Pelodiscus sinensis: one gene and its partners. Each later gene encodes a partner of the first gene's protein in a complex. Links are inferred from orthologs where the notes say so. Each region holds a gene or a part of one and is shown in the gene's direction. Other genes may lie near its edges. The genes, in order: EXOSC3, EXOSC8, EXOSC4 and EXOSC1.

Region 1 (7,370 bases):
TGATTTGATTATTTTGCCAAAAAGTGTTAAATATGTTTAGTTTTGTCTGTACACACAAAATTCATTATTTTCATACACAGAAGAACACCAAGGAGAAGGTTGTGGACACTTTGGCAAGTGGTGAAGCTGTTGAAACAAACCAAGAACCATCAAGAGATAAAACTGAGGGGCAAGATGACTCAATACATGAGTGAGAGTGAGCTGAGTGAATCACTACGGGTATGTCTACACTGCATTCCTCTTTTGAGAGAGGACTGCAAATGCAGCTGAGCGAAATTGCAAATGAAGCATGGATTTGAATTTCCCGTGCTTCTTTTGCATAATCGTGTCCAGGCGCTATTTCGAAATATTCTATTTCGAAAAAAGAAACGCTGTCTAGACGCAGTTATTTCGAAAGAAAACCCTTCTTTCGAAATTCCCCAACGCCTTATAAAATGAGGTTTAAGAGTAATTTTGAAAGAAGGGATTTCTTTCGAAGTAACCGCATCTAGACAGGGTTTCTTTTTTCAAAATAGCGCCCGGACACGATTATGCAAATGAAGCATGGGAAAGTCAAATCCACGTTTCATTTGCAATTTCGCTCAGCTGCATTTGCATTCCCCTCTTGAAAGAGGAATGCAGTGTAGACATACCCTAATTGAGAACACAGCAAGCAAAGCTCCTATGAAGCTTGATGAGGTGACTTGTAGAACACAGCAAACCTAGGAATGAATAAGACATGAAAACCAAAGATACAGTAGTTACACATGACAAATATGTATCCAGTGAATACCTGAAATTAATATAAAGACAAAAAATAAGGTATGTGAATTGACTAAATTAATGTCTTCTTGTATACAGTGCTCTGGATATGAGTACGAAAGAGTCTTCCTTTCTGCTCATGATGGGCCACAGATACCAATTTGATTACTATATCTGTAATTGCTAATTTTGGAAATAGTGTATCCTTTAGAACAGTTTTTTAAAAGGTTAGATTTTAGCTAAAACTCAGGCACAAGGCAAATGGAACTGGCAACTTTACATTTTGCCTAAACAGCATCTTGAATTTCTAGTTAAATAATTGCATAAAATATCTTCTGAATAATTGCAACTGTGCACATACTAAATTTAGAATTTGTTTAAACTATATGAAGTTTTTAATAAAGTTTAACACCGCTCCTGTGACATATCATATTTTAAAATCTGAGATATTAAAAGCCTTTTATCCTGTACATTCAGTTGTCTATAGTTTTTTATTATTATTATGCATACTTTGGAACCAATTTGAATGAAGTGTCAAAAATCATGTTTTCTTTAATGTATTCAGTCAAAATAATGTTGATGAAAAGTTGTTGGGGGGGGGGATTCCTCAATAAAAATGTATGATTTTAAAACACCATAACACACTTATGCATGTGACTTCCCTCTCTCTAAATAGAAGAGCTTCAGTCAGCCTGTAAATTGGCTTTTCATAATGTAAGAAATTCCAGATGGGGTAAGGGAGAGGAAGAGAAGGCTATTTTATAGCTAATTATGCTTCTCTAGAAAGGTAATTTACAACCCTCAATTGAATGTAACTTCTCCTGAAGTCAGGTGGAATTCTGGAAGAAAACCCTAAATCTACAATTAGCTAAAACTGCATAGTAAGTAGTTACTGCATACTACAGTTAAGATGGTAAATGGCAGAACACACACCATCCATTCCGTCTTTATCTGCGTATATATTTTAGAGTGTGTGTGTGTGTGTGTCTGTCTGCGAGTCCATTTGTTCAAGAAGTCCTTCTAAAGGGTAAGAGCTAGTGCCACCAAATTTGGAGTGCAGCTCCCTCTTCACCTAACTTAAAGCAAGGTCTGGGTTTGGTTGTGCCAGGACAATTGAAAGCCCGGGGAAAAGGACAGTTTTCCATAACATGCAAAGGGAGAGACTGCTGTTCAGAGGGACACAATATGAGAGTAGCTGCTGGGGGCAGCTGTACAATCAAGGGAGTGACAAGCAGGGCTGGGGCTCTGCCATTTTTCCTGCCAGCAAGCCAAGTAAGTATCCTTTAAACTGTTTTCCCTCTTCCTGGCCCTTGGCCACAGCACGGGGGAAAGGGGACAGCCCCTGGCAGCAGTGAGGAGATCTAAGGGGGGAGAGAAAAGGCCTGTGCCAGATGGGCCTCCTCCACCCTGAGCTTCCCTTTATCCCCCAACCCTCACTTTCTTAACCCCCGCAGCCTCCAGAACTCCACACACACACATTCCCAAGGCCCTGCCCTGACTCCTACATCCCCACAATATCAGCCCCTTGTCCTGAAGGACCCAGTACATAATAGCATATTGCATAAGGCATCCACTTCTGTCCAGAAGATACCCCAAAACAAAGGAATGCAAAATCCCATTTAATCAATTAACTTGTTAAATGTTACAGTTAACCACTTAATTGATATCCTGTGGGCAGGAAGCCCAGGGAGGCTGGAGCTGACCCCTTCCTGTCGCTGCACAGTGGGCCACAGTTTTTAGCACTAGGTTAGGGATGCATCTACAGAATGTGATACTGGAGAAGGCACAAACACAAGGTATGTCTAGACTATGTGGCTCCATCGATGGAGCCATGTTGATTAGTTTACTAGACATAGGAAAATGAAGTGGCAATTTAAATAATCGCCACTTCATTTACATCAAAATGGCTGCCGTGCTGTGCCAATCAACTGTTTGGCGGCACAGCACTGTAGTCTGGACGCTCTGCGGTCGACAAGGGAAGACTCATAGAATGAGGTTTACCGGGGCGGTCAACAAGTGCTTCCTTCGTCGACCATGGAGCGTCCAGACTACCGCGCTGTACCACCAAACAGCTGATCGGCACAGCGTGGCAGCCATTTTGATGTAAATGAAGCAGCGATTATTTAAATTGCCGCTTCATTTTCTTATGTCTAGTAAACTAATCTACATGGCTCCGTCGACGGAGCCATGTAGTCTAGACATACCCACATAGTCTGAGTTTGTGGCAGTTGGCTAAGGTCTATACTATCCATGCTCACTACTCCAAGGGTGGGATTTCTTCTGCCCTGAAACTTCTGAAATCCAGAATTAAAAGTTTTCTATTACATCTATCTTATGCTATTTTCATCAGTATTCTGGATGTTCATGGTACGTTTTTCATAAGCAAATAAACTTAGGCTATGTCTACACTACTTGGGCAAAAACTTGCAGAGCGTCTACACTGCACGTGTGTTCTTGCACAAGTAAATTTATAGTACAGCGTCAGAAAACAGGGCTTCTTCCGGAAGAGTTATTCCTTTCCCCACAAGGAATAAGCCCTCTTGCGCAAGAGCTCTTCCACAAGAAGGCAGTGTAGATGGGGTAACATGAATTTCTTGTGCAAGAAACCCCTATTGCTAAAATGGCCATCAGAGCTTTCTTGCGCAAGAGAGTGTCCACACTGCCATGGACGCTCTTCTGCAAAAGCACATCTCTTTTGCAAAAGCTCATGGCAGTGTGGACGCACTCTTGTGGAAGACCTTTTGCACAAGAACTCTTCCGCAAAACAGTTCTTGCGCAAGAAGCCTGCCATGTAGAAGTCTACATGTTTTTGCCTATTCTTGCGCAAAAACGTGCGTAGCGTCTACATTGCACGTGTGTTCTTGCACAAGTAAATTTACAGTAAAGCATCAGAAGAGAGAGCTTCTTGCACAAGAGTTATTCCTTTCCCCCCTGTGGAATAAGCCCTCTTGCGCAAGAGCTCTTGCCAAGAAAGCAGTGTGGACGGGAAAAGGGGTTTCTTGCGCAAGAAACCCCTATGGCTAAAATGGCCATTAGAGTTTTCTTGCACAAGAGAGCGTCCACACTCCATGGACATTCTTGCACAAAAGCACATCTCTTGTGCAAAAGCACATGGGGGCGTGAACACGCTCTTGCGCAAGAACTTTTTGCACAAGAAGCCTGCAGTGCGGACATAGCCTTGGGGTTCTTTTTATTTAATATCATGGCAGAAAATTGGCAGGTGAATTGGCAAGACAATTTGACAGTTATACTAATGAACCCCTGGTATCTTTATTTGGCCAGGTGATGTCGCCAGTGGTTAACAATTCAGGGGGACATGAGTTTTCCGTTTTCTAACTCCAGCTTCCTAGTTTAACATTAGCAGTTTGTACAGGCGAATCAGAGACGTGCGGGTTGTGCACAGTTCGGCTGGCACCCGCCCATCGCAACAAGCGGGCCTGCTCCCCTGCAGCGCTACCGCAGGCCGGGTAATGTACAAGCCAGTTCCTTACAGGAACCTCACTCCGGGTCTTCGGGCTTGCACGCGCCGCCGGGCGGGGCTGTTCGGAGTGACGTCCCCGCCCATTCTGCCGGCTGAGGCCCTAGCCAGACTTGTGCGCATGCGCAATATGGACCCGCTACCCCCTCCCTCCGCCGCTTTTCGGCGCACGCGTCCCCCCTCGTTGCGACCATGGCGGCCGAGGAGGGGGCCCTGCCCGCCGAGCAGCGCGTGGGGCAGGTGGTGCTGCCGGGGGATGTGCTGCTGCTGCCCTCGCACCCCGAGGCGGGCGGGGAGCGGCTGTGGCTGGGCGCGAGCGCCGCGCTGCCGGGCCGGCTGGTGTGCGGGCCGGGCCTGCGGCGCTGCGGGGCCGGGCTCCTGGTCACCAAGTGCGGGCTGCTGCGCCACCGCCCGTCGGGCGGGGCCGGAGGCGGCTCGGGCGGCGCCTACTGGGTGGACTCCCAGCAGAAGCGGGTGAGCGCGCGCGCGCGGCGGCGGGTGGCGCGTGCGGCCAACGTCTCCTCCCCCCCCCCCCCCCCCGCGCGCGCTACCTCCCGCTCCGTGGAACCCGCCGCGTGATCGACCCAACGTCTGCGCCCTGCCCCTCCCCCCAGGGGCGAGTGTGGCGGGGCACAAGCGCTAAAGACAGAGCCCATTGCTACTGACATGATTCACTGGAGCAGGGCTAGTGCCCCTGAAGCGCCTCTGGTTGCAGGATTAAGCCACTTCCAGGAGCAGCAGTTGCCATTGGGGTAATAACTCCAGTAGGTTCGGCATTTTAGAACTGGCTGCTCCAATAATTACATTTAAACTCAGAGAGAAATGAAAAGGATGAAATGCACAGACCAGTCAACAACCCAAAATCACACGCTTTGCAAGCAGTAAAAGAAATCACCCCCCCCCCCCCGCACACACGTATGTTTTGGGTTGGGAGATGAAAGTGAAGGACAGTGTGTGCCTGTGAGAATGACAGGCACACATAGTGTAGGAGAGTGACAGATTTACATTGCCAAGCTCCCTCCATCCCCTTTTCTCTGTGGAAGTGGAGAGAGGAGAGACACCCTGCACAGCAAGCAGGAGGCTCGGCGGGGGGGGGGGGAGCAGCTCCAAGGCAGAGGGCAGGAGCAGCATGACAGTGGGTGGAGGGGCAACTGAAGTGCCAGTGCTTGATAGCTTCCTGGCCAAACTAGTCAGGATCACCTGTCAGAGGCTCTAAGGTCTACCAGTAGATCCCAATCTACTGGTTGGTGACCACTGAGGTAGTGGCTCCGTCCTCCCTCCCTGCACTGCTGCCTCTGTATCAGAAGCAGCAGTGCGGGGGGGCTACACGTTACAGAGAGGGTTAACCAATGAGCCCTCACACACACAAACACGCGCGTGCGCGTGAACGATATGTTTCTCTTGTTACATGTCTTAATCCTAAAGTTTGTTTTCATTTTCAGTATGTACCAGTCAAGGGAGATCATGTGATAGGCATAGTGACTATCAAAGCAGGTGATATATTCAAAGTGGATGTTGGTGGAAGTGAGCAAGCATCTTTGTCCTACTTGGCATTTGAAGGTGCAACCAAAAGAAACAGGCCAAATGTGCAGGTAATTTTGTTATATATATATATTGGCACTATCAAAGCCCTTAAAATACTGTGTTTTCACTTTCTTGCAAATTGACAATTAAAATTTCCTCATATATTTATCCGTATCTTAGTCAAAAGATGTTCTGGTATATAATAGATTTTTAGTGAAATGTACAAACATTTTCTTTGCCTTTTCTCCTAGCTTTTATGTTGGACCCTGGCAGAGGGAGGGATTTTCTTCCTTTGATCACTGACTATCACAGTATTAGTTGCCAGATTTTGCCATTCATTATACAGAGGGTGTGCAGCTGTGTCACAGGGAGGAAATGGCACTTCTGTGATAGAATAGCTCTTCAAAGAGAGAGTCTGAGATCAATTTAGGCCTAGAATTCAGGTTACATAAAACAGGCTCTTACAAAATGTGACTGTCGTGCTGTCTTGAGTGGCTCTCGACTATAGTACCTAACTCAGGGCAGACTATGAAACAGGGCAGACATGTTAAACTGGTGATGAATTATATAATTAAATGTCACCAACTCAGTAACAAATATGAACACCTGGATCATAGACAGTTCCCTTAGACATTCTTTATCTTGCCACCCAGACAAGAGGAGCTTAATGATAAATAGTTAGTTACACCAAAAATCACACCATGTTCAAGTTGCTTTGTTGCTTTCAGTCCACAAGACAATCATTTACCCCAGATCAGTTGATACTAGGGATGTAGGCGAGTAGTACCTGTCGCTTCCCATCCCCGTTAGTGCCTCTGCATGAGAGGCAGCAAGGGGGAGGAAACAGGAGTCGGCTTAAAAGCTGGTTTTCCCCAGTGTTGCCTGCCCCCTTATCCCCACTGATAGAGACAGCAGCAGGGGACATGGGAGGCTGCCACAGAGCAGGCTCTGCCCACTGCAAACCTGGCACAAGCTGGGACCAAGCAATTCCAGCTTGTGCTGATCAGGGACCACTGCAGCTCTGCCTGTGCACCTGGCTCCTACAATTAAACTGCAGAGCTGCAGTGAGGGTAGCTCCTGAACCAGCACAAGCTGGGACTGAGCACCTTCCCTTATCAATTAATCGTGAAGTCAATACAAATTGTATCGACTACACAATTAGTCAGTTACCCATCTCTTAACATCCTTAGTTGGTACTCTAGAACTTACACCAAAGACAGTGCCTGTAGCCAATCCTCTAATAAGCTATCTAAAGGTTTAAAAGTCTCAGAGATGTAGTAGGTTGTTCTCTTGAAAGTTCATGAAACAATCTACATTTTTTTTGTTAGTCTCTAAGGTGCGGCAGGACCGTTTGTTGTTTAAGTTTTATCTAAAGGTTTGTTAACTAGGAAAAGGAAATGAGTTCATTGTAAGTTAAATAAGCAAGCCTGTACACACAAATGAACCATTATCTAAATCCTAAAAGTACGAATGTTGTAATAATCTGTCAATTCCAAGTGTCCTTCAGGGCAGATTTAGGGGAAACCTCTGGGAATCTCTGCTTCAGTTTAAAGCCTGTGGCCCTATCAGAGTTCAAACAGCAGAGAGAGAGATGGAACATTTTCAAGTCTACAGGGTAAGCGTCTTT
Region 2 (7,818 bases), on another chromosome or scaffold:
AAGCACTGGGAAAGGGTGAGAGGTGCAAGTTCTGGGAGGGAATTTGAGTGCAGGAAAAAGTAGAGAAGAGGATGCTGGCTCAGGGAGAGGGCTCTAGGCTGGACAGTGTTGGGGTCAGGTGGAGTCTTGGGGTGCTGAGCAAGCCACAGGCTTGTTGCTGTGAGGGTACAGGAGTTTGGGCTGGGGTGCATGAGGGGATCAGGGCAGGGAAGCTGAGAGTATGATGGGCTCAGGACACAGACTTGCAGGTGTGGATGGTGCAGGAGTGTTGTGGCAGAAGACTGGGGATGAGGGTGTGCAGGAGTTTGGGGATGTGAGAGGCTTAGGACAGGGGGTTCCAGTGAATGATAGGCTCAGGTTGGGGCCTGGAGGGGAGGGAGGTGCAAGAGTGTTATGATGCTGAGGCCAGATGGAGAACTGGCCCCAGTTGGGGGCTTGTTGGCCAGGCTTCATTTTTAAATAAAATATGTCAAACACAAAATGTTTCAGCATTGTCTTTATTTATGAGAGGGGCGGGGAACCTGTTTTGAGTCAGGGGTCACTGACCCACAGAAAAGTCAGTCAGGGCCACAAAAGTGAGATGCAAAAAAACAACTCCTCCCAAACCCCCCAACCCTCACTAATGTGGCCCCAACTGTGCTGCTGGGGGCAGCGGATAGGGTGCTGGGGCAGGGTACTCATGGGGGGGGGGGGGGGGTCTGGCCAGGAGGAGGGGACAGAGACAGCTGGGGCCAGTACCTAGGGATCCCGGGTCTCAGGAAGTTGCTGCCTGCTCTTCCCCTTCCCTCCCCCAAGGATCCACCCCGGGCTCTAACCCAATCTCCCTCCCCTTCCCCAGAGCCAGGAACATCCCCCCCAACTCAATACTCCTCCCCTTCCCCAGAGTCAGGAACACACACTTCCCTAAACCCAATCCTCCTCTCCCCTCCCCAGAGCCAGGCACGGGCCCCCCTCAATACCAATCCCCCTCCCCCCCACTCTAATCTAATTCTCAGGTCCTGGAGGTGGAGCCGCCACTAACAGCTAGACGCGTCTCCCTCCAGGTGCCGGGGTGTGTGCGCTGAGTGGCCGGCCTTGAGATGTGCTGGCTGGGACACCGTGCACACGCCTCTCCCTCCCCCCCCCGAACCCAACCACCCTTCCTTTCCTTTCCTTCCCTTCCCCTCCCCTCCCCTCCCATCCCATCCCATCCCCCAGACTAGAGCCAGGCACATCCTGCAGGGTGGGAGGAACCCAGAGCTCAGGCTCCAGGCCAAGCTGGGAAGTCTACACTACAATAAAACAGTACTGCAACCCGAACCCTACGAGCCCACATCAGCTGGCTTTTCATTGCAGTTTAAACATACCCCGAGACAGCACCTATTGTTCTTGTGGCCGATCAATTTATAGACAAGGACAATACATACATACTCCTTCTGGTGGCTCTTACTGCAGTGAGACAGATAAGACAACAACATGATCTGCAGTGCCAGCAGTAAGTAGACAGCCTCCAGCTTACAACTCTTTCACATCAGAAGGACCTTTATAAGTTAAGGCTAAATTACTTGCCCAAGATCATACAGGAAGTACATGGTAAAGCCAGGAATAGAATCCATATCTCCTAAACAAGACCATTCTTCCTTCCTTCTGCCTGATTAAAGCCCCTGCTATAAGTTCCAGAGTGTGAAATTCTAAAAAAAACCAATATGGATATTTTTACTCCTAACCTCCCATACTGACTTTAAGAGTCACTGAAGACCAGCTTAAAGTGGCTTTTGTAATCTTTCAGCAACCTAGTTAATAAATGTCTACCTTTATTTTACACAGTTTTAGTAAAAATTGTTTTTTGCAGAAAGTAGTTTAATTTCTGTCACTAAAAAAGCATGTCTGGACTCTATAGAAGCTCTACATGCACAACTCCATTTACTTGATTGCGACCTGAAAACTTGGTAAGCAAAATGGCTACATAATCTGCAATTTTCTGTTGCTGACATTCACCAGCAACACAAAACTTAGTTTGTCTCTCAAAAAGAAAACCAAGAAATATTCTTACACCTGTCTTCCTCATTGTATGAAGGCACAACAACAGAAAGCTCCTTTGTAGGGGGGTCATGTATGCTTGGTATAGATTCCTTCTTCCCTTCAGCATTTACAAAGAACTTCTCTTCTTCATGTCGATGAAGATTTGGCATTTTTGTGGCAGTTATATGGGCAACAATAGTAATCTGTGAAAAAACAGAAATGGTATTTATGACAATGTTGCATTAAGCAAATGCTATATTCATTTTTTGCATAACCACATTTGGTTAGGTGTTCAACTATTCTAATTTACTGAACAAAGGATGGTCAATCATATCTGTGGTCTACATTCGAGTAATTTAAAGTCATTCCTATTACACCATCAGGGTCATCCCAAGGAGTCACAGGTTCTGGGGAAACCCTCACCCCATTTGTGCAGCCCAAGGTAAGCCCCATCCTACAAGCCCTGCTTCTTCCCTTCCCAAGCCCCATAATCTCCCAGGTACCTCCTGTCCATAGGATGGATGGAGGAGCCGCAGGGCCCTCTCCAAAGCACAGGGCCTTGGACGGCTGCCCCAGCTCACCCTATGGATAGGATGGCTCTAACAACCATGGTAAAGTGGGTCCATTGAGGAGTGCTCTTTTATCTGCTGCACAGATCAAAAAGGAACTTTACCGGTTATGATTTATAGTCTTTATATGGCATTTAGTGGTTCCATTTTATCTACACAGGATATGGCTCCAGGTTCCCAGCAAGTTGCAAATGAAATTTTCAACTAGAAAAGGCCACCATAAATTTGACCCAGTGAACATTTTCTAGACCCTGGTGCACAACAGTTCTAAATCTTGTAGCTATACCCACTGCATTAGTTGATAATTAACTAAAAATCTAGAGCATAGCAAGCATTAGCAGCAACATCTCTAATATTAAGCAAGTCCATACAAGAAGCAAATCTTATCACATATAAAACTGATATTAAATAATGCAATTAAGTAACAACTTTTGTTTTCCATTAAAAATACCATACACACACACATATAACTCACACAACACTACCACTACGAGCAGACTAACTAGAAAGAAATACTGCTGAATTAAGAGATAGGCCACCATAATTTGCAGTAATCATAAACTTCAGTAACTGTGGAATTACGGATGTAAGTGATTAATCGACTATCCGATAAGCAAAAGTTAGCGAATAGTCGACACACTAGTTGACTAGTCGCTTCCGCCCCCTTGCTGCCTCTTTCATAGCAGGGAGTCCTTTGGGGGCTCTTGTGCATTTCAAAGGTGGAACATGGACGTTCTTATCGACTAACCGAATAGTCGATGGAAATCCCATCAACTATTCGATTAATTAATTAATCAAAATTTAACATCCCTATGGATGTTATCATTTAACATCTCTGTGGAATGAAATCTTATGACTTACAAAAGTAAGTGAAGAAGGAAAGAGGAGAAAAATGTATTAAATATATAGGTAATATGTTTGCATGTCATATATCCTACTTCTGAGTCTCCAGAGTGTCTGAAATCTCATGTCAATTAGACACTTCGAAATTGCAAATGAAGCCAGGATTTGAATTTCCTGCACTACATTTGCATAATTGTGTCATGGTGCTCTTTCGAAAAAGCGCTATTTCAAAAGTGAAACTGCAGTCTAGACACGGTAATTTCGAAAATAGAAGCTTTTTTTGAAAGATCCTGTTGAAAGACAGATGTAGTCTACAAAAGCGACGAGGAGTCCTGTGGCACCTTATAGACTAACTGAAGTGTAGGAGCATAAGCTTTCGTGGGCAAAGACCCACTTCATCAGATGCATGTAATCTAGACACCCCCTCATTTTCATCTTCTTGACTGTAATGAATTTGGGGCAGGGACTGTTTACATCTATGTCATATAACAACACACACACACTGCCTGCACTTACTAATGTGTCCTGCTAGCTTCTCTAACACAGCTACCAAATTCTTTGAACAAAATACAGTATTTAAATGGTTCAATTTTTCTTAAAATTGGAAAAGTGTAGTTTTATCCTCAAACTAAATGCTACAATGATTACAGGTAACATAGAGGAGAGCAGCAAAAATGATATAAAAGCTTAGAAATCCTGGCCTACAAGTACAGATAACAAAAAAACCTGGGCTTGCTTAATCTTTAAAAAAACGACTGAGGGGCAACCTGATAACAATTTTCAAATACGCTAAGGGCTGTAAGAAAAGGGACAACTGTTCTGCACATCCTGTGAAGGACAAAAAGTAGTGGCCTGCAGCAAAGGAGAACTGCTTGATATTAAGAGAAATGGCTTCCCAGGCAGGCTGTGGAATCCCCACCTTGGGCCATTATTAAGAGCGTGCTGGACACTCGACCTGCCCGTCAGGGACAGTCGAGGGGTTACACGGTCTAGCTTCGGGGAGAAGGGCTGGGCTTTGTGAGATTCCTTCCAGCCCCACACTGCAGCGGGTCTAAAGCTGCGACCGCCCATCCGGGCCGGGCCGAGCCTGTGGCCCCAGGCAGTCTCGTGCGGGGGAGCGGGAGCGTGGCCCCTCCCGCCCAGCGCCCCTCGCCGGGGTCCCGTCCCGCTGCCGGTCGGGGCGCTGGGCTGCTCCCCCCGCGGAAGGGGGCGGGGCCGCGCCCAGCGAGGGGCTCTCAGCTGAGTCGGGGGCTGCCCCGTGAGCGGCGCGATGCCCCTCAGGGGCCGCACTCACCAGGCTCAGGGCTGCGGCTGCCAAGGCAGCGAGCGCGGCGGCCACGTCAGCCAGGAGCGGCTCCATGCTCCATGCCGGGCGCGGCCTATGGGGCAGCTCCAGCGAGGCGGAAGCGGCCCTGACAACAAACCGCTGCGACGAGAGGAGCCGCTTCTCAGAGCGCCCGGGCCCCACAGCGCCCCCTGCCGGGAAACCTCCGCCCCTCCCGGCCAGCATCCGCCCAAGGGGCAGATGGGGGAGGAAGGGGCACGGAAGTGCGTCCCCCCCGGAACCGGAAGTAGATCGCGCAGGGGCGGAAGCGGGACTATGGCGGCCGGATTCAAGTAAGAGACTGAGCGAACAAGCTCTTTGGCCTTCGCCTTCAGTCACCTCAGCGGGAGCTGCGGCTTCGCCCAGGCTGCTGCCGAGTCCTTAGGCCCGGCGGTCGCAGCGGCGTCGGGCGGTGCCCGGGTGCAGAGGGTTTAGCCTTCATGTGGCGCCCCCTGGCTGTGGCTACTCGCCGCACGCCGGGCCCCGAGCTCTGCCAGGCCCGAGCTTGGGAACCGATTCCTGGCGGCTGTGAGGGGCCGCTCCCCCCGCCCTGTCTGCAGCGCCTGCTCTCAACAGCCCGCCTTGGGAGTGGGGGCGGGGACGAAATACACCGCCCCTTCCCCCCCAACTCTCACTTTTCCCTGGCAGAGCATGTCCACCCACCGCTTGTCATTCGTGGTCTTGGCAATCGAGGGCCTGTCTCCTGCAAGCACGTGGCACGTGCACTTTTTTTTGCCTGTGACTAATTTTAGTGAGTTCACTGGGGCTCCCCATACTTATAGCACGATGCTTGTGCAGAATTATTTATAGGATTGTAATTGAGGCCCTTACTCGCTATGGTAAAATCAACATTCGGTTTTCCCCTCCTCTTAAACTGACTTAATTCTTAGATTTTGTATATTTCATTCTATCTGAATTTATCTAGATTTCAAAACTAAAGACTTAATAGCTGTAACTGCTGTTGAATTAAGGGTTTGGGTCAGTAATAGGACTGTGCCCTTTAGCAGCCAGACAGTGTTAAGGGAGAGACCAACTTTCTACCTCACTACACCCTCTCTCCAAATTATTCACTTTCAATGTAACATTGCAGTTTGCTACAGAAAAGTTCTTTCAATTTCAATGAATTACAGAAATACATTATTCTTCCCACATCCCTAAACCTTACAGCAGTTATGGTTCTGAGTTACATTGCATCATATGTTTTGCCAAAAAAGTGAGTTGTCATAGCCAGCTAAGGCATTTTGAAATGTGGGTCTTTGTCTATGTTAGAGGAAAAGTCTTGGTAGAAATCATAGCAACTGTAATCTGTTCCTAATCAATATGAAGACCAAATGTTAGAGTTGCTGGAGTGGAGGAATCCATCTGAGGACAGTTAGAAGAAAATGGGAGTTAAGTGTAAGAACTGATTGAACAAGGAGTCCCAGGTGTTTGGGAAAGAAAGATTTCTGCATTGATCCAACTCTCTTTGCTTCTCTCCTGTGTGTCTCAATCTTTAAATGGGGCACAGTAGATTGTACAGGCAGTCCCCGGGTTACATGGATCCAACTTACATCGGATCCCTACTTACAAACGGGGTGAGGCAACCCCACACTAGCTGCTTCCCCCCAGCAGACCAGGGAGATGCGAAGCTAGCGCGTCGTCCCCCCTCCCCCCAGCAGACCAGGGAAACGCGGAGTGGCTTTTCTCAGCAGACACCTCAGCTTAAGAATAAAGAACTGAGGGAAGTGAGGTGTGGGAGAATAAAACTGAGCTCTGGAGAAATGTTTGGCTAGAGTTTCCCCTACAATATGTACCAGTTCCGACTTACATACAAATTCAACTTAAGAACAAACCTACAGTCCCTATCTTGTATGTAAACCGGGGACTGCCTGTATTGCCTGAGCCAGTGAGGTCTAGCCCTTGGCTGTGTCTACACTGGGCCACTTATTCCGGAAAATCAGCTGCTTTTCCGGAATAAGCTGTGAGCTGTCTACACTGGCCCTTGAATTTCCAGAAAAGCAACGATGCTCTACTGTACAAAATCAGCCGCTATTCCGGAAAAACTATTCTGCTCCCGCTCGGGCATAAGTCCTTATTCCGGAACACTGTTCCGGAAAAGGGACAGTGTAGACAGCCCAGTAGTCTTTTCTGGAAAAAAGCCCCGATCACGAAAATGGCGATCGGGGCTCTTTTCCGGAAAAGCGCGTCTACATTGGCCACAGATGCTTTTCCGGAAAAAGGGCTTTTCTGGAAAAGTAACCTGCCAATGTAGATGCTCCTTTTCCGGAAAAACTGAAAATGGAATAGTATTCCGTTTTAAGCATTTCCGGAAATTCATGCCAATGTAGACACAGCCCTTATGTCTATGCTAACTGGGGATAGCTCAAGGAATACTGACATTAACATTACCCTTCTGCTTGTAAATTGTCATACATATGTCCGATTTATGTTGGCTTAGAAAATGTAATAAAAGTTCTGAGTTACCTTTTCCATAATTTGTCTTCAAAAACATTAGTTTGAACAAAACTTGAGGGCCTTGTGTCAAAGATTAACTGTGCTGCAAACAGTGTTGTATCAGTTTCTAGTTGTGGAACATTGTGTCTTCTCAGTTTTTCTGTTCTCTGTTTTAGCCTTTGTCTCCACTACCAGGTGGATCCATGCTGCAGCAATAAATCAACCAGTGGTTGATTTAGTGGGTCTAGTGAAGGCCTGCTAAATCAACTGCCAAATGTGTTCCCAGTGAGTCTGGTACTCCACTAGAACAAGATGCATAAAATAAATCAATGGGAGAGTTTATCCCATCAAACCAGAATAGTGTAGACACTGCAAGTAGTCGACCTAAAGTATGTCAACTTCAGCTATGTTATTCACATAGCTGGAATTGTGCAACTTAGGTCAACTTTATTGTGATTTGAAAAATTGTGTCATTTTAGGGAGTGTGCAGAAAACAATCTGAAACATTACATTCTATGTTAAAAATAATGTTGAATTACTAAATTGGTGTATTTAGTAACTTCTGTGAAGAGAAGCATTATGTATTGGTGCTCCAAAGAAACACAGATAGATATAGGATAAGTATAAAATTAAAGAATTAGAGTAAGC
Region 3 (7,955 bases), on another chromosome or scaffold:
AATGAGCAAGTCTCCGTGGAACAATAGCCCTCCACAGGCCAAGGACACACCCCAAGAATGCTCAACTCTTCATCCTAGATGCAGCATTGCAGGGATCAACGAGCTGGAAAGAACTGTGGACCCGTCTGCACAGAGGATGTGCACCAAGGACTTTTAAGCCAGCAGTTATAACATCTCTGCTAGAGCCTGCATCGAGAACTGGGAGATTCGATGCATGGAATGTAGGATACTTTAACAACCTCACTCTCGGGCTTTTCTTTCTCTTAGTAATAAACCTTTAGGGTGCATCTAGACTGGCAAGATTTTGCACAAAATCATGCCAGTCTAGACGCAGCCTTAGATTTTAGATTCTAAAGGATTGGCTCAGCTTCTAGACTGGCTGTGTCTAGACTGGCATGAGTTTGCGCAAATACCTTTAATGGAAAAGTTTTTCCATTAAAAGTATTTGCGCAAGAGAGCGTCTACACTGGTATGTGCCTTTGCGCAAAAGATTTGCTTTTGCGCAAAAGCATCCGTGCTAGTGTAGACGCTCTCTTGCGCAAGAAAGTTCTGATGGCCATTTTAGCCATCGGGCTTTCTTGCACAAGAAATTAATGTGGCTGTCTACACTGGCCTCTTACGCAAGAGGGCTTATCCCTGAGCAGGAGCATCGGAGTATTTGCACAAGAACCACTGATTTTATACATTACAAAGTCAGTGTTCTTGCGCAAATACTTGTGGCCAGTGTAGCCGCACCCAGAATGTAAATTGACCAGGGATCTGCGGCTGGTTTCTTGGAACTGGACAGAACTTGTTTGGGGTAGGTGGGATTGGGTCCTAAACCCCCTCACCTGTGAATGAGGGCGGGGCCATCTAGGGCATGGATATTGCTGGGGTATTGGAGGGGTTTTGTTCGTGAGGCTTCTGACTGGCCAGGCAAGCAACTGAAGTGCTCTATGCAACTGGTTTGGGAAGGTCTCCAGGCTGGGGGCAATAGAGGGCCCCAAATTTGAGCAATTCGCCCTGAGCGGATGCCCTCAGCGGTGCCCAGACACGGCCTGGTCCGTCACAAGTAGTCAATGGAATTTCCTTAACTACTTGACTAGTTGATAGGAACTTCCGGATTCCTCCTTTGAAATGTACAGGAGGCTCCACCCCCGGGACCTCTTGTATATGTCAGAGGCCTGTGGAATCCGTGTGCAGCCTATGGCCAGTGGGAGTCCTGTTGACTCTGGGCTGCCCAGGGGTGCCAGCTTTGAAATGTACAAGAGTCCCCAGCAGGGGATGCAGAGTCCTGAGCTGGCCCCGGCTCCATGCGCCACTGCCACTTTGAAATGCTACGGGGAGCGGGGGTCAGCTGACCCCGGGCGCTGCTCTTTGAAGCACCCGCCTCCCACCCTTTGCTGCCAGGCTACGGCTACATTGGCAAGATTTTGCACAAATACTTTTAATGCAAGAGTTCTTGTGCAAGAGCGTGTCTACGCTGGCACGTGCCTTTGCACAAGAGACGTGCTTTTGTGCAAGAGCATCCGTGCCAGTGCCGACGCTCTCGTCCGCAAGAACGCTCCAGGGGCCGTTTCAGCCACCGGGCTTCCTGCCCCAAGGAATTCCTGTTGCCTCCTGCGCCAGAGCAGCGGGGCCGGGGCCGGATCCCTGAGCGGGGCCGGGGCCGGATCCCTGAGCGGGGCAGGGGCCTGATCCCTGAGCGGGGCAGGGGCCTGATCCCTGAGCGGGGCCGGGGCCTGATCCCTGAGCGGGGGCAGGGGCCTGATCCCTGAGCGGGGCCGGGGCCTGATCCCTGAGCGGGGGCAGGGGCCGGATCCCTGAGCGGGGCAGGGGCCTGATCCCTGAGCGGGGGCAGGGGCCTGATCCCTGAGCGGGGGCAGGGGCCTGATCCCTGAGCGGGGCAGGGGCCGGATCCCTGAGCGGGGCAGGGGCCTGATCCCTGAGCGGGGGCAGGGGCCGGATCCCTGAGCGGGGGCAGGGGCCGGATCCCTGAGCGGGGCCGGGGCCTGATCCCTGAGCGGGGCCGGGGCCTGATCCCTGAGCGGGGCAGGGGCCGGATCCCTGAGCGGGGCAGGGGCCGGATCCCTGAGCGGGGCAGGGGCCGGATCCCTGAGCGGGGGCAGGGGCCGGATCCCTGAGCGGGGGCAGGGGCCGGATCCCTGAGCGGGGGCAGGGGCCGGATCCCTGAGCGGGGCCGGGGCCGGATCCCTGAGCGGGGCCGGGGCCGGATCCCTGAGCGGGGCCGGGGCCGGATCCCTGAGCGGGGCAGGGGCCTGATCCCTGAGCGGGGGCAGGGGCCTGATCCCTGAGCGGGGCAGGGGCCTGATCCCTGAGCGGGGGCAGGGGCCGGATCCCTGAGCGGGGCCGGGGCCGGATCCCTGAGCGGGGCCGGGGCCGGATCCCTGAGCGGGGCCGGGGCCTGATCCCTGAGCGGGGCCGGGGCCTGATCCCTGAGCGGGGCCGGGGCCTGATCCCTGAGCGGGGCAGGGGCCGGATCCCTGAGCGGGGGCAGGGGCCGGATCCCTGAGCGGGGCAGGGGCCGGATCCCTGAGCGGGGGCAGGGGCCGGATCCCTGAGCGGGGCAGGGGCCGGATCCCTGAGCGGGGCCGGGGCCTGATCCCTGAGCGGGGCCGGGGCCGGATCCCTGAGCGGGGGCAGGGGCCGGATCCCTGAGCGGGGGCAGGGGCCGGATCCCTGAGCGGGGCAGGGGCCGGATCCCTGAGCGGGGCCGGGGCCGGATCCCTGAGCGGGGGCAGGGGCCTGATCCCTGAGCGGGGCAGGGGCCTGATCCCTGAGCGGGGGCAGGGGCCGGATCCCTGAGCGGGGCAGGGGCCTGATCCCTGAGCGGGGGCAGGGGCCTGATCCCTGAGCGGGGCAGGGGCCGGATCCCTGAGCGGGGGCAGGGGCCGGATCCCTGAGCGGGGCCGGGGCCTGATCCCTGAGCGGGGGCAGGGGCCGGATCCCTGAGCGGGGCAGGGCTTGATCCCTGAGCGGGGGCAGGGGCCGGATCCCTGAGCGGGGCCGGGGCCTGATCCCTGAGCGGGGGCAGGGGCCGGATCCCTGAGCGGGGCAGGGGCCTGATCCCTGAGCGGGGGCAGGGGCCGGATCCCTGAGCGGGGCAGGGGCCTGATCCCTGAGCGGGGGCAGGGGCCTGATCCCTGAGCGGGGCCGGGGCCTGATCCCTGAGCGGGGGCAGGGGCCGGATCCCTGAGCGGGGCAGGGCTTGATCCCTGAGCGGGGGCAGGGGCCGGATCCCTGAGCGGGGCCGGGGCCTGATCCCTGAGCGGGGGCAGGGGCCGGATCCCTGAGCGGGGGCAGGGGCCTGATCCCTGAGCGGGGGCAGGGGCCTGATCCCTGAGCGGGGCAGGGGCCTGATCCCTTAGCGGGGGCAGGGGCCGGATCCCTGAGCGGGGCAGGGGCCTGATCCCTGAGCGGGGGCAGGGGCCTGATCCCTGAGCGGGGCAGGGGCCGGATCCCTGAGCGGGGGCAGGGGCCGGATCCCTGAGCGGGGCAGGGGCCTGATCCCTGAGCGGGGGCAGGGGCCGGATCCCTGAGCGGGGCAGGGGCCTGATCCCTGAGCGGGGGCAGGGGCCTGATCCCTGAGCGGGGCCGGGGCCTGATCCCTGAGCGGGGGCAGGGGCCGGATCCCTGAGCGGGGCAGGGCTTGATCCCTGAGCGGGGGCAGGGGCCGGATCCCTGAGCGGGGCCGGGGCCTGATCCCTGAGCGGGGGCAGGGGCCGGATCCCTGAGCGGGGGCAGGGGCCTGATCCCTGAGCGGGGGCAGGGGCCTGATCCCTGAGCGGGGCAGGGGCCTGATCCCTTAGCGGGGGCAGGGGCCGGATCCCTGAGCGGGGCAGGGGCCTGATCCCTGAGCGGGGGCAGGGGCCTGATCCCTGAGCGGGGCAGGGGCCGGATCCCTGAGCGGGGGCAGGGGCCGGATCCCTGAGCGGGGCAGGGGCCTGATCCCTGAGCGGGGGCAGGGGCCTGATCCCTGAGCGGGGCAGGGGCCGGATCCCTGAGCGGGGCAGGGGCCTGATCCCTGAGCGGGGGCAGGGGCCTGATCCCTGAGCGGGGCAGGGGCCGGATCCCTGAGCGGGGCAGGGGCCGGATCCCTGAGCGGGGGCAGGGGCCGGATCCCTGAGCGGGGCAGGGCTTGATCCCTGAGCGGGGGCAGGGCCGCCCTGCGCGAGGAGCCCGGTCCGAGTTCCCGCGCTGGGGCTCCCGCCAGCGCCCACTCGGGCTGAACCTGCCCGTGCAGCCACCCCCCCCCCGTCTGACTGGGGCACCGGCCCCTCCCCCCCCTGCGCGGGGAAACTGAGGCACCAGCAGGCAGGGCCGGGTGGGAAGGCGGAGCGGCACAGACCGGAACACTCGCCCGCCCGCCTGACGGGGCCAGCCGCGAAGGGGGGCGGGAAGGGGCGGGGCCGGGGGCAGGGCAGGGCGCGGGGCAGGCCGGGAAGGGGCGGGGCCGGGGGCCGGGCGCGGGGCAGGCCGGGAAGGGGGCGGGGGCGGGCGCGGGGCAGGCCGGGAAGGGGACGGGCGCGGGGCCGGCCGGGAAGGGGGCGGGGGCGGGCGCGGGGCAGGCCGGGAAGGGGCGGTGCGGGGCCGGGGGCGGTGCAGGCCGGGAAGGGGGCGGGGCCGGGCGCGGGGCAGGCCGGGAAGGGGGCGGTGCGGGGTCGGGCGCGGGGCAGGCCGGGAAGGGGGCGGTGCGGGGCCGGGGGCGGGGCAGGCCGGGAAGGGGGCGGGGCTAGGCGCGGGGCAGGCCGGGAAGGGGGCGGGGCCGGGCGCCGGGCCGGCCGGGAAGGGGGCGGGGCCGGGCGCGGGGCCGGCCGGGAAGGGGCGGAGCCGGGGCCGGGCGCGGGGCAGGCCGGGAAGGGGGCGGGGCCGGGCGCGGGGCAGGCCGGGAAGGGGGCGGGGCCGGGGCCATGGCGGGGCTGGAGCTGCTGTCGGACCAGGGCTACCGCGTGGACGGGCGCCGGGCCGGGGAGCTGCGCAAGGTGCGCGCGCGCATGGGGGTCTTCGCGCAGGCCGACGGCTCCGCCTACATCGAGCAGGGCAACACCAAGGCGCTGGCCGTCGTGTACGGGCCGCACGAGGTGAGCCGGGCCCCCGCCGGAAGCGGCCCCTCCCCCCCCGGGCCTCCCCGCCGGAAGCGGCCCCTCCCCCCGTGTCCCCTCCCCCGCCGGAAGCGGCCCCTGCCCCCCGCGGGCCCCCCCGCCGGAAGCGGCCCCTGCCCCCCGCGACCCCCCGCCGGAAGCGGCCCCCCTTCGGAAACGGGCCCTCCCCCCGCGGGCCCCCCCCTTCGGAAACGGGCCCTCCCCTCGCGGGCTCCTCCCGCCGGAAGCGGCCCCTCCCCCCAGCCCCTTCCTTGCGGAGCCCCGCAGCTCTGCCCGGCGGGGGCGGGGGCGGGGTGACCCCCCCGCGAGCCGCCTCCCCGCCGGGCTTTGGCCCGTGTTCGGGACGAGCGAGTCCGGCCGGGAGCCCCCCCCCGCCCGGCGCTGCAGCCCGCGTGTCCCGCCGTTGCAGATGCGCGGCGCCCGCAGCAAGGCGCTGCACGACCGGGCGCTGGTGAACTGCCAGTACAGCATGGCCACCTTCAGCACGGGCGAGCGCAAGCGCCGGCCCCACGGCGACCGCAAGTCCAGCGAGATGACCCTGCACCTCAAGCAGACCTTCGAGGCGGCCATCCTCACGCGGCTCTACCCCCGCTCCCAGATCGACATCTACGTGCAGGTAGGGGTCACCTAGCGCCCCCCGGCCAGAGGCCTGAACCCCCCCCCGGCCAGGGGCCTGAACCCCCCCCGGCCAGGGGCCTGAACCCCCCCCGGCCAGGGGCCTGTACCCGTAACCCCCCGGCCAGGGGCCTGTACCCGCAACCCCCCGGCCAGGGGCCTGTACCCGCACCCCCCCCACCCCCCGGCCAGGGGCCTGTACCCGCACCCCCCCCACCCCCCGGCCAGGGGCCTGAACCCCCCCCGGCCAGGGGCCTGTACCCGCACCCCCCCCCCCCCCCGGCCAGGGGCCTGCACCCGCACCCCCCCCCCCCGGCCAGGGGCCTGTACCCGCACCCCCCCCCCCCCCCCCGGCCAGGGGCCTGTACCCGCACCCCCCCCCCCCCCCCCGAGCCATGGGCCTGTAGCCGTGGGCTGCTGGCTCTGTGGTTTACCCAGCTCCCCATACGGAGCTGGCAGCTTCCTGGTTTCTGCTGTGCCTGACCCCAGTTGCCTGGAGTAGCTCCCTGGAGTATGGGGGAAGGGGTTTCAAGCCTTGCTCAGTGCTGTGTGGGCCTCACCATGGGGTGACCATGGGACATGAGGAATCATCTGGGCCTTCAGCCAGCTGAGCCATTGGGGAAGGAGGTGGTGACCTGTGTGGGGCGCTTGCTGGCTCCTGCACTAGTGTGGGGAGGTTGTTTGTGTAGCATTCCGGAAGGGATCAGCCATGTGCGTTCTGCTCACTCCCCCACTGGTTCCCTGGGCTGCCTAGACAGCAGTGCCAGGTGAAGGGGCGTCTGCCCAGGGCTTATGTTGTTTCACAAGCCAGTGATGCTGCTTTCTAAGGAGGGTTGTGGGCATGAAAGGTCTAGTCCTGAGCTTTGTGGGGCCAGATGCAGAGTCGCTCAGGTGCAGCCTCCTCTGCTCCCTTTGCTGAGTGCTCTGTCTCCCCAGATCCTGCAGGCAGACGGTGGGAATTACTGTGCTTGTGTGAACGCGGCCACGCTGGCCACCATAGACGCAGGCATCCCCATGCGAGACTATGTGTGCGCCAGCTCTGCCGGCTTCATCGAGGACACGCCCCTGGCTGACCTCAACTACGTGGAGGAGGCAGCTGGGGGCCCCCAAGTGGCTCTGGCCCTGCTGCCTAAGTCGGACCAGATCGCCCTGCTGGAGATGAACTCGCGGCTGCACGAGGACCACCTGGAACAGGTCATCGAGGCTGCCAGCAAGGCCTGCAAGGATGTCTACGCTGTGCTGGACCAGGTGGTGCGTGAGCACGTGCACGAGGTCACCACGCTGCTGGGGGAGTGAGCGCACAGGCCTGTGTGCCTAGAACCAGTGCTGCACGTGACTGTGGGTGGGGACAGGGAGCGCTGCCGTGGCCGCCGCAGGGATCGATTCAGCCAAAGCCCATGCCAACACTGCCCCTTTGTCCAGCTGCTTTGTTCTCCGATGTGCACACTGGGCCCAGGTTGAGCACCTCTGCTGGGCGCTAATATCACATTGGTACATGTGAATGCCCCGCGGCGTCTGTCAAGCCTGGTGTTCCTCGCTGGGTGATGGGCCCTGACATGGCTTCCTGGATCTGTAGCCATGGCTGCTGACTCCTGGGCTGTTGGCCTCTCCCATTCTCCTAGGCGCTGCGAGAGGCTGGGGCGCGTGGCCCGGTGGATAGCTGCTCGATCCGTAGATATCAGTGTCTGTTCCTTTGTAGGGGACTGCTGTAAATAAAACATTGTTTTGGTGGAAATTGTATTGTGTGGGCTACCCCCTGGCTGAGTGCAGGGCAGCAGAGAACCAGTGCTGCTGAAGATACGGCCCATGCGAAGTCTGGCGCGTCCCCAGTGCTGGAGGAGAGATGGGGGCTCTGCTGTACCCGTCTCTATTGTGGCTTGGTCCCTGCCTATGACAGCTCCTAGGAAGACTCCAGCTCACACAGGATTAATCGGGGAACCTCCCCTCCCAGACGTCCCCTCTGCTTGCTCACGCTGCTCCCGGGGCTGGTAGGACGGCTCCCTAGGCACCACAGCCTGCCTGCTGTCACCATCACTCCCTGGCCTGCCAGGCTTCGTGCCAGCAAAGCTGCCAGTGCTTGCTGATTTAGAGGAGATGCTTCTGGTGCAAGGCCAGTGGCCTAAGCTGGTCTGGGAAAGCCATTCCCAGGTGACCAGTAGCCTAAGCCCCGAGCTTCCCCAGCACCCATCTGCCCAGAGGAGCAAGGCCAGGGGAAATCCTGATCCAGAGAGGTCGCTC
Region 4 (7,689 bases), on another chromosome or scaffold:
CACCGTCAGCCCACACCGTCAGCCCAGGGCTGTCCCCCCCCCACACCCCCCCACCGTCAGCCCAGGGCTGTCCGCCCGCCACGCCCCCACCGCCAGCCCAGGCCTGTCACCCCGCCAGGCCCCCCACCGCCAGCCCAGGGCTGTCCTCCCGCCAGGCCCCCCACCGCCAGCCCAGGCCTGTCACCCCGCCAGGCCCCCCACCGCCAGCCCAGGGCTGTCCTCCCGCCAGGCCTCCTCCCGCCAGGCCCCCCCCCCCCGCCAGCCCAGGGCTGTCCCCCCACCAGGCCCCCCCACCGCCAGCCCAGGGCTGTCACCCCGCCAGGCCCCCCCACCGCCAGCCCAGGCCTGTCACCCCGCCTGGCCCCCCCACCGCCAGCCCAGGGCTGTCCCCCCGCCAGGCACCCCCACCGCCAGCCCAGGGCTGTCCGCCCGCCACGCCCCCCACCGCCAGCCCAGGCCTGTCACCCCGCCAGGCCCCCCACCGCCAGCCCAGGGCTGTCCTCCCGCCAGGCCCCCCACCGCCAGCCCAGGCCTGTCACCCCGCCAGGCCCCCCACCGCCAGCCCAGGGCTGTCCTCCCGCCAGGCCTCCTCCCGCCAGGCCCCCCACCGCCAGCCCAGGGCTGTCCCCCCGCCAGGCCCCCCCACCGCCAGCCCAGGGCTGTCACCCCCGCCAGGCCCCCCCACCGCCAGCCCAGGCCTGTCACCCCGCCAGGCCCCCCCCACCGCCAGCCCAGGGCTGTCCCCCCGCCAGGCACCCCACCACCAGCCCAGGGCTGTCCCCCCCCCACGCTCCCCACCGCCAGCCCAGGCCTGTCACCCCGCCAGGCACCCCCACCACCAGCCCAGGGCTGTCCCCCCGCCAGGCCCCCCACCGCCAGCCCAGGGCTGTCCCCCCCCCACGCTCCCCACCGCCAGCCCAGGCCTGTCACCCCCGCCAGGCACCCCCCACCGCCAGCCCAGGGCTGTCCCCCCGCCAGGCCCCCCACCGCCAGCCCAGGGCTGTCCCCCCCCACGCTCCCCACCGCCAGCCCAGGCCTGTCACCCCGCCAGGCACCCCCCACCACCAGCCCAGGGCTGTCCCCCCGCCAGGCACCCCCACCACCAGCCCAGGGCTGTCCCCCCGCCAGGCACCCCCACCACCAGCCCAGGGCTGTCCCCCCACCACGCCCCCCACCGCCAGCCCAGGGCTGTCCCCCCCGCCAGGCCCCCCCACCGCCAGCCCAGGGCTGTCCCCCCGCCAGGCCCCCCACCGCCAGCCCAGGGCTGTCCCCCCGCCAGGCCCCCCACCGCCAGCCCAGGGCTGTCCCCCTGCCAGGCACCCCCACCGCCAGCCCAGGGCTGTCACCCCCCGCCAGGCACCCCCACCGCCAGCCCAGGGCTCTCACCCCGCCAGGCCCCCCACCGCCAGCCCAGGGCTGTCCCCCCACCGCCAGCCCAGGGCTGTCTTCCCGCCAGGCACCCCCCACCGCCAGCCCAGGGCTGTCCCCCCGCCAGGCCCCCCCCACCGCCAGCCCAGGCCTGTCCCCCCGCCAGGCACCCCCACCGCCAGCCCAGGGCTGTCCCCCCACCAGGCACCCCCACCGCCAGCCCAGGGCTGTCCCCCCACCAGGCACCCCCACCGCCAGCCCAGGGCTGTCCCCCCACCAGGCACCCCCACCACCAGCCCAGGGCTGTCCCCCCACCACGCCCCCCACCACCAGCCCAGGGCTGTCACCCCGCCAGGCCCCCCACCGCCAGCCCAGGGCTGTCCCCCCACCACGCCCCCCACCGCCAGCCCAGGGCTGTCCCCCCGCCAGGCACCCCCACCGCCAGCCCAGGGCTGTCCCCCCGCCAGGCCCCCCACCGCCAGCCCAGGGCTGTCACCCCGCCAGGCCCCCCACCGCCAGCCCAGGGCTGTCCCCCCGCCAGGCACCCCCACTGCCAGCCCAGGGCTCTCACCCCGCCAGGCACCCCCACCGCCAGCCCAGGGCTCTCACCCCGCCAGGCCCCCCACCGCCAGCCCAGGGCTCTCACCCCGCCAGGCCCCCCACCGCCAGCCCAGGGCTGTCACCCCCGCCAGGCCCCCCACCGCCAGCCCAGGGCTGTCCCCCCGCCAGGCCCCCCACCGCCAGCCCAGGGCTGTCCCCCCGCCAGGCACTTACCACCCCAAACCAGCGGGTGACATGGTCTACCAGCCAGTAGATGGGCTCGAAGAGGGAGTCGAGCAGCACGTCGCTGTTGGTGAAGGAGTTGTAGAGCAGGGAGTGGAGGCAAAGGCGCCCGTAGCGCCACAGCTGCTGCACCCGCCACACCAGCCTCAGCCTGCGTCGCCGGCCCACGCGCAGGCACTTCAGAAAGAGGCGCATCACCGCGGAGAACGCCCGCTGGCGGCTCCTCATCCCCACCGCGCACCGTCTGCGGAGAGAGCCCGGCTCAGCGCCACCCGGACCTGCCCTCCGCACCGGGGCAGCGTCCCCCGGACTGGGCCAGTGCTCAGCAGCGGGAAGAGACTCACAGGCTCACTCCCCGGCCGTGCGTGGCGCTGGGCCGCCTTCAGCTCCCTGCTCTGGCAGGGTTTCTGCCTCTGCCCTGCTGGCAGTGCCCCCTGGCAGGCACAAGCCACCCCTCTGGGTCGGGACGGGGGTGCCGGAGACCTTGGTGGGCCCAGCAAGGGGAATGAGCCCGGCTCCTGGGGCACAGGAGCGCAGAGCCTTCTGCTCCCTGCCCCCATCCCGGCTCAGGTGTTCACTGGCCCAGACGCAGAAGAAACCAGAGACGGAGCTCAGGGCACTCACAGGCTGCCAGCGTCGCCAGAGACCCTGGCGCTCAGAGCCAGGGAGCCCGCAGGGGGGGACAGGCGGCATTAAAAGCCCACCACCCCATCTCCCACCTCCCTCCTGAACCCGGCCCTGGGAGCTGCTTGCGCACAGCCCCAGCCAGGGGTGTGATCTCTGTCCACCCCCGAGTCCAATTCAGTGCAGGGCGGCCCTGGAAGCCAAGGCACAGCCCCTGGGCGGAAGCAGGATGAGCTGGCCAAAGGGGGCAGTGGGCATGGGGCCCTACCAGGCTGCTCACCTGCCTGCTGAGCTGTGCGCACTGGCCTGCAGTCAGCTGGAGTGAGGAGGAACCTGAGCCTGCCCGGGCATGGAGCCACCTCCCTGAGGCACACCCAGCATCAACGAGGAGAGGCTGCCCCCAGCAGGGCTCAGGCACAGAGCTGAGCACAGCGTGTCGAGTAGGCAGCCCAAGCAGGGGCCCTGGAGCCGGCTTCTCGGCCTAACTAGCACCTGTCTCTGGGGAGGACTGGCCGAACAAAGCCTCTGCCCTGCCTCTCAGAGGCCTGTCTCCTGCAGCGCTCAGCCTTGCCCCAGACTAGGCCCTTCTCCCCACTGCGGCCCTATAATACTCCCTCCCAGGCCGGCTCCTCCAGCCCCGGCATGTGGGGCTGGGGCAGCTCTCCCTCTGTTTTCTCTGGCCGGGATGTTCAGCGAATGTTTTACTTGGGAAGGCTGACGGGGGGAGGGGTATCACGCACAGCCGGCGGGGGGGTTCTCACTGTCTTTTGAACGTGCCCCACCGAAAAGGGAGGCATCCGATTTCAGAAAATACTGCGGTGAATTAAAGCAGGTGCACCCGATCTCTGCTGGGCTGGCGTCTCCAGGCCAGGGTGCGGGCTAAGGGTGGTGCTGTGCAGCGGGTGGGAATCCCACAGGCAGAGGATCTCGTCTACCCGAGGCTGTTCTGATGCACCCATCACCCTGGAACCAGGCCTCTGTGTCTCCCGCCTGGCAGGCAGCTCGGAGGGCGCTGCACCCCAGCGTGTCCATTGCAGGACGACCAGTGTGTGCTCGGGGCCTCTCCGCCGCGGATGGGGGAGGTACCCACCCACCGCTGGTCCTGGGGGGCGTGAGCCGAGCCAGGTGCCCAAACCCCCGGCCGGGCCACAGACATGGGGGTCTGCAGAGCCCCCTGCAGCAAGAGCCTCCCGCGAGGGCACGGACAGGGGGGCGTCACTGCCTGGGGGCCACAGAGGGAGACAGCCCCCGCCCCCCCCGCCCCCCCTCCGAGGACACCCCCTCCGCGAGATACCCCCTCCCCCTGGGAACCCCCCGTCCCCCTCCGAGACACCCCCTCCGCGAGATACCCCCTCCCCCTGGAACCCCCCGTCCCCCTCCGAGACACCCCCCTCCGCGAGATACCCCCCTCCCCCTGGAACCCCCCGCCCCCCCTCCGAGAGACACCCCCTCCGCGAGATACCCCCTCCCCCTGGAACCCCCCCGCCCCCCTCCGAGACACCCCCTCCGCGAGATACCCCCTCCCCCTGGAACCCCCCGCCCCCCTCCGAGACACCCCCTCCGCGAGATACCCCCTCCCCCCTGAACCCCCCGCCCCGCCCCCTTGGAACCCTCCGCCCCGCCCCCTTGGAATCCCCCGCCCCCCTCCGAGACACCCCCTCCCCCTGGAACCCTCCGCCCCGCCCCCTCGGAACCCCCGCCCCCTCCGCGAGATACCCGCCCCGCCCCCCTTACCTGCCGGCCCGCACCCCGCCTCCATCTGCCCCGGCCCCAGCCCTCACCGCCGGCCGGGCATCACCCCGGTACCTGAGGCTCACTGCGCCTGCGCGGCGCGCCCCGCGGAGCATGCCGGGAGCTGTAGTCTCTCCGCTCCAGACTGCAACTCCCGAAGCGCCCCGCGCTGGCCGGCGTCCCCTCCCCGCAGGCGGTAGCGGTCACGTGGGAGCACCGGCCAATGGGAAACTTCCTTCCCGGGGAGCTGCGGAGCGGCAGCATGGCCCGGCCGGCGCGGTGCTGCGTGCCCGGTGAGCCCCTCCCCCTCCCCCTCCCCGCCCCCCCCTTAACCGTCCCGGCCGGCTCGCGCCCCCTCCTCCCCTTACCCCCCCTTAACCCTCGCGCCCCCCTCCCCCTCACTGCCCCCCCCGCCGGCTCGCGCCCCCTTCCCCTTACCGCCCCTCCCCCCCTCACCGCCCCCCCCCGGCTCGTGCCCCCCCGCCGGGCTGACGCTTGCTGTCCCCAGGCGAGCGGCTCTGCGGGCTGCAGGAGGCGGCGCCGGGCAGCGGCACCTACACCCGGCTGGGCTCCGTGTGCGCCGCGCTGGCCGGCGGCCTGCTCACCACGCGCCGGGACGGAGAGGTGAGGGGGGGCGTCCTGCTGCTGGCCCCCTGCAAGCCCCGCCCCCACCTGAGTGCCCCGCCCCCGGAGGACCCGCTGGAGTCTGGGCACGGGGGGTGCAGCTTGCCGGGGGGGGGCGTCTGGGCACGGGGGGTGCAGCTTGCCGGGGGGGGTGCTCGGCCTGAGGCCATGGACGCGGGCAGACTGGCTGTCTCTGGGGCAGGCGAAGGGCGATGTCATGGGAGGTGTCTGCTGCAGGCCTCCTAGCCAGGACAGAAAGGGGCTGAGGGGTTTTGACCCACCCTGTGGATGTGAAGTGAGCCGCCTTGACATCCGCAGGTGTGGATGCCTGAGACTACCCATGGGCTTGCAGGGCCCTAGTGATGGGGGACTTCAGCGGCCAGGACATCTCTTGGGAATAGGGAGCTCAAAAGCCACCTAACAATGTGACCGCTCCAGATCCCAGGGTCACGTGCTGCTGGCTGTGCGGTATAACACTTATACGGAAAACCCACAGTGGAGCCTCCCAGGGAGCCAGCGAGTAACCGAAACGGAAACTGATCAGCTGAGGCTTGTGAGCGGCGGGGTTGAGGCTTATGGGTTAAGCGGTTGCACTGTTACGTCCCCGGCTGGGAAAAGAAGGCAGCAGGGCACAGGGCATCCAAGAGGAGTCTGGAGTGTATTGCAGAAAGCATCTGTGGGAGGCTGCTCTAGGTTTGATTTTGACAACTAGGGAGGAGCTGGTTGAGAATTTGAGAGTGGAAGGCAGCCTGGGTGAAAGCGAACAGGAAGTGGCGAGGTAAGGAATGGTGGGAAAGGCCAGCCCAAGAGCGACAGTGGGATTCAAGAAGGCAGACTTGAGTAACTCGGGGAGTTGGTAGGCTAGAGCCCATGGAAGCGAGTCTAGGGGGAAAGTAGCTCTAGAGAGTTGGTAGTTTTTCTGGGTGACACTTTCGGGCACAGGAGAGACAGGCAGTCTGGCCAGAGACCACCCAGGAGAGCTCATTGATCTGAAATTCAAGATTTGAGTCCTGTGAAAAGCGGGGAGTAGGTCACATGACGGAGGATGACTAAACACGTAACTGAAGCATGCAGGGACGAGTGCTTGGCCGGGCTGGGCCGGGCCTGGTGGACGTGGTATGCCGACACTGGCTCTGTGGGGGTGGGAGGTGGCCGTGCCAGGCACAGGGCTAACCAAGGGCTCCTCTCTACGCCTGTGCAGCTGCCGGTGGTGTCTGTGGTGAGAGACGTCGAGTCCCAGCTCCTGCCCGACGTGGGGGCCATTGTGACGTGCAAGGTAAACGCCTGCCTGGCCGGCTCCGCTGCTGGGTCTCTTGCTGCAGGAGCGCCGCGTTCGGTGGGGGGAGGGCAGGCCGGATGCCTGTGCAAGGACCGGAAAGGGTTACAAACCTCCTCTGCTGCTCAACCTCTGGCTGATCCCCTCTCTGCCTCATGCCAGGCTTCTCCGCAAGGGGCTGGCGGGCTCCGGGGTGGCTCTGTGAGAGGCAGGGAGCCTCTTGGCTCCCTGGCACCAGTTCCAGCCAGCCCACTCTGCTCTGGGAACCAAGTGTCGGGGCGCGGTGCCCCCTCCATCGCTGGCATTGGCACCCTCAGCCTAGAGGCCATGGAGGCCGAATTCCTGCTTTCCACCAAGGGGCTTCCGGGGGCAGCCTGGAGGGGAATAGGCTGCTGGTTGGGAGAAGCAGGTGGGTGTGGCTGGGAGTTGCAAGCTCTCCCCGGAGCGGAGTGTGGCAGTGAGTCGATCACCGGGCAGGGGAACGGGGGGCTCTGACTGGCTGTGGGTGGGTGGTTAGGTTAGTTCCCCTACAGTGGAGCAGGGGCGGGGCCAGTCCCTGCTGGTCTTGCTGCCCAGTACTTGGGTGCCTGGGGGAGCTATGCTTAGCTGGGGGGTCATGCCAGATTCTCCCCACAGGTGTGCAGCATTAACTCCCGCTTTGCCAAGGTGCGCATCCTCTACATCGGCTCCACGCCGCTGAAATCCACCTTCCGAGGTACCATACGGTAAGGCCTGACCTCACGGGCCCATCCCCAGGGTCTGGGGGAGGGTGGTTCCCCCTGTACTTTACCAATGTATGCCCAGCCCTGCCTGGGGAACAGAGCCAGCTCTGCTGCCCTGCAGCTCACCCCTTGTCCTAAGACTGGCTCCTGCAAGCTAATGCCTTCTGCCCAGTGCCGGGCCGCGTCCTGGGGAACGGCTGCATAAGCCCTGATGGGGCAGCCAGGGCTGCGTCTCCAGAGAGGCGAGCGTGGCCCTGGGCCCAGCAGGCGCGGGCTGAGATCTCGCTGTCTCTTCTTACAGGAGAGAAGACATTCGAGCCACAGAGAAAGACAAGGTCAGTCGGCTGCTGCCTGCTTCTGTTTCTGCCCAGCGCTTGGCTGCCACCCTCTTCCCTGCACATGCGGCCCAGGCCAAACCCCCAGGCATGGCTCACCCCATTCAGCCCCAGCTCCTGAGGTGGCTCCCTCTGGGAGGGGAGCTTGCTGACCCCTCATCTCAGAGGGCACCCCACTCCCCTCACTGGGACAGGCTGAGCTGGAGGGTTGGGGTTCTTGGCTGCC

Evidence for each region.
Region 2: EXOSC3 (region 1) and EXOSC8 share a complex: the UniProt entries of both Homo sapiens proteins name them as parts of the RNA exosome core complex. The link is inferred for Pelodiscus sinensis from reciprocal best matches to the Homo sapiens genes EXOSC3 and EXOSC8.
Region 3: EXOSC3 (region 1) and EXOSC4 share a complex: the UniProt entries of both Homo sapiens proteins name them as parts of the RNA exosome core complex. The link is inferred for Pelodiscus sinensis from reciprocal best matches to the Homo sapiens genes EXOSC3 and EXOSC4.
Region 4: EXOSC3 (region 1) and EXOSC1 share a complex: the UniProt entries of both Homo sapiens proteins name them as parts of the RNA exosome core complex. The link is inferred for Pelodiscus sinensis from reciprocal best matches to the Homo sapiens genes EXOSC3 and EXOSC1.

The regions. Positions count from the first base shown.
Region 1 is NC_134718.1:14,179,425-14,186,794, forward strand, and holds the start of EXOSC3 (exosome complex component RRP40), read left to right. Parts: upstream 1-4,354; 5' UTR 4,355-4,411; coding exon 4,412-4,693; intron 4,694-5,661; coding exon 5,662-5,811; intron 5,812-7,370. UniProt on the Homo sapiens protein: Non-catalytic component of the RNA exosome complex which has 3'->5' exoribonuclease activity and participates in a multitude of cellular RNA processing and degradation events.
Region 2 is NC_134711.1:294,865,588-294,873,405, reverse strand, and holds the start of EXOSC8 (exosome complex component RRP43), read left to right. Parts: upstream 1-4,696; 5' UTR 4,697-4,794; coding exon 4,795-5,030; intron 5,031-5,076; exon of another isoform or gene 5,077-5,271; intron 5,272-7,818. Other genes in the region: ALG5 (dolichyl-phosphate beta-glucosyltransferase), read right to left, coding at 2,033-2,171. UniProt on the Homo sapiens protein: Non-catalytic component of the RNA exosome complex which has 3'->5' exoribonuclease activity and participates in a multitude of cellular RNA processing and degradation events.
Region 3 is NW_027465833.1:42,603-50,557, reverse strand, and holds EXOSC4 (exosome complex component RRP41), read left to right. Parts: upstream 1-4,860; 5' UTR 4,861-4,910; coding exon 4,911-5,081; intron 5,082-5,511; coding exon 5,512-5,718; intron 5,719-6,653; coding exon 6,654-7,013; 3' UTR 7,014-7,452; downstream 7,453-7,955. UniProt on the Homo sapiens protein: Non-catalytic component of the RNA exosome complex which has 3'->5' exoribonuclease activity and participates in a multitude of cellular RNA processing and degradation events.
Region 4 is NW_027465990.1:87,885-95,573, forward strand, and holds the start of EXOSC1 (exosome complex component CSL4), read left to right. Parts: upstream 1-4,664; 5' UTR 4,665-4,729; coding exon 4,730-4,799; intron 4,800-5,014; coding exon 5,015-5,130; intron 5,131-6,331; coding exon 6,332-6,406; intron 6,407-7,042; coding exon 7,043-7,131; intron 7,132-7,429; coding exon 7,430-7,463; intron 7,464-7,689. UniProt on the Homo sapiens protein: Non-catalytic component of the RNA exosome complex which has 3'->5' exoribonuclease activity and participates in a multitude of cellular RNA processing and degradation events.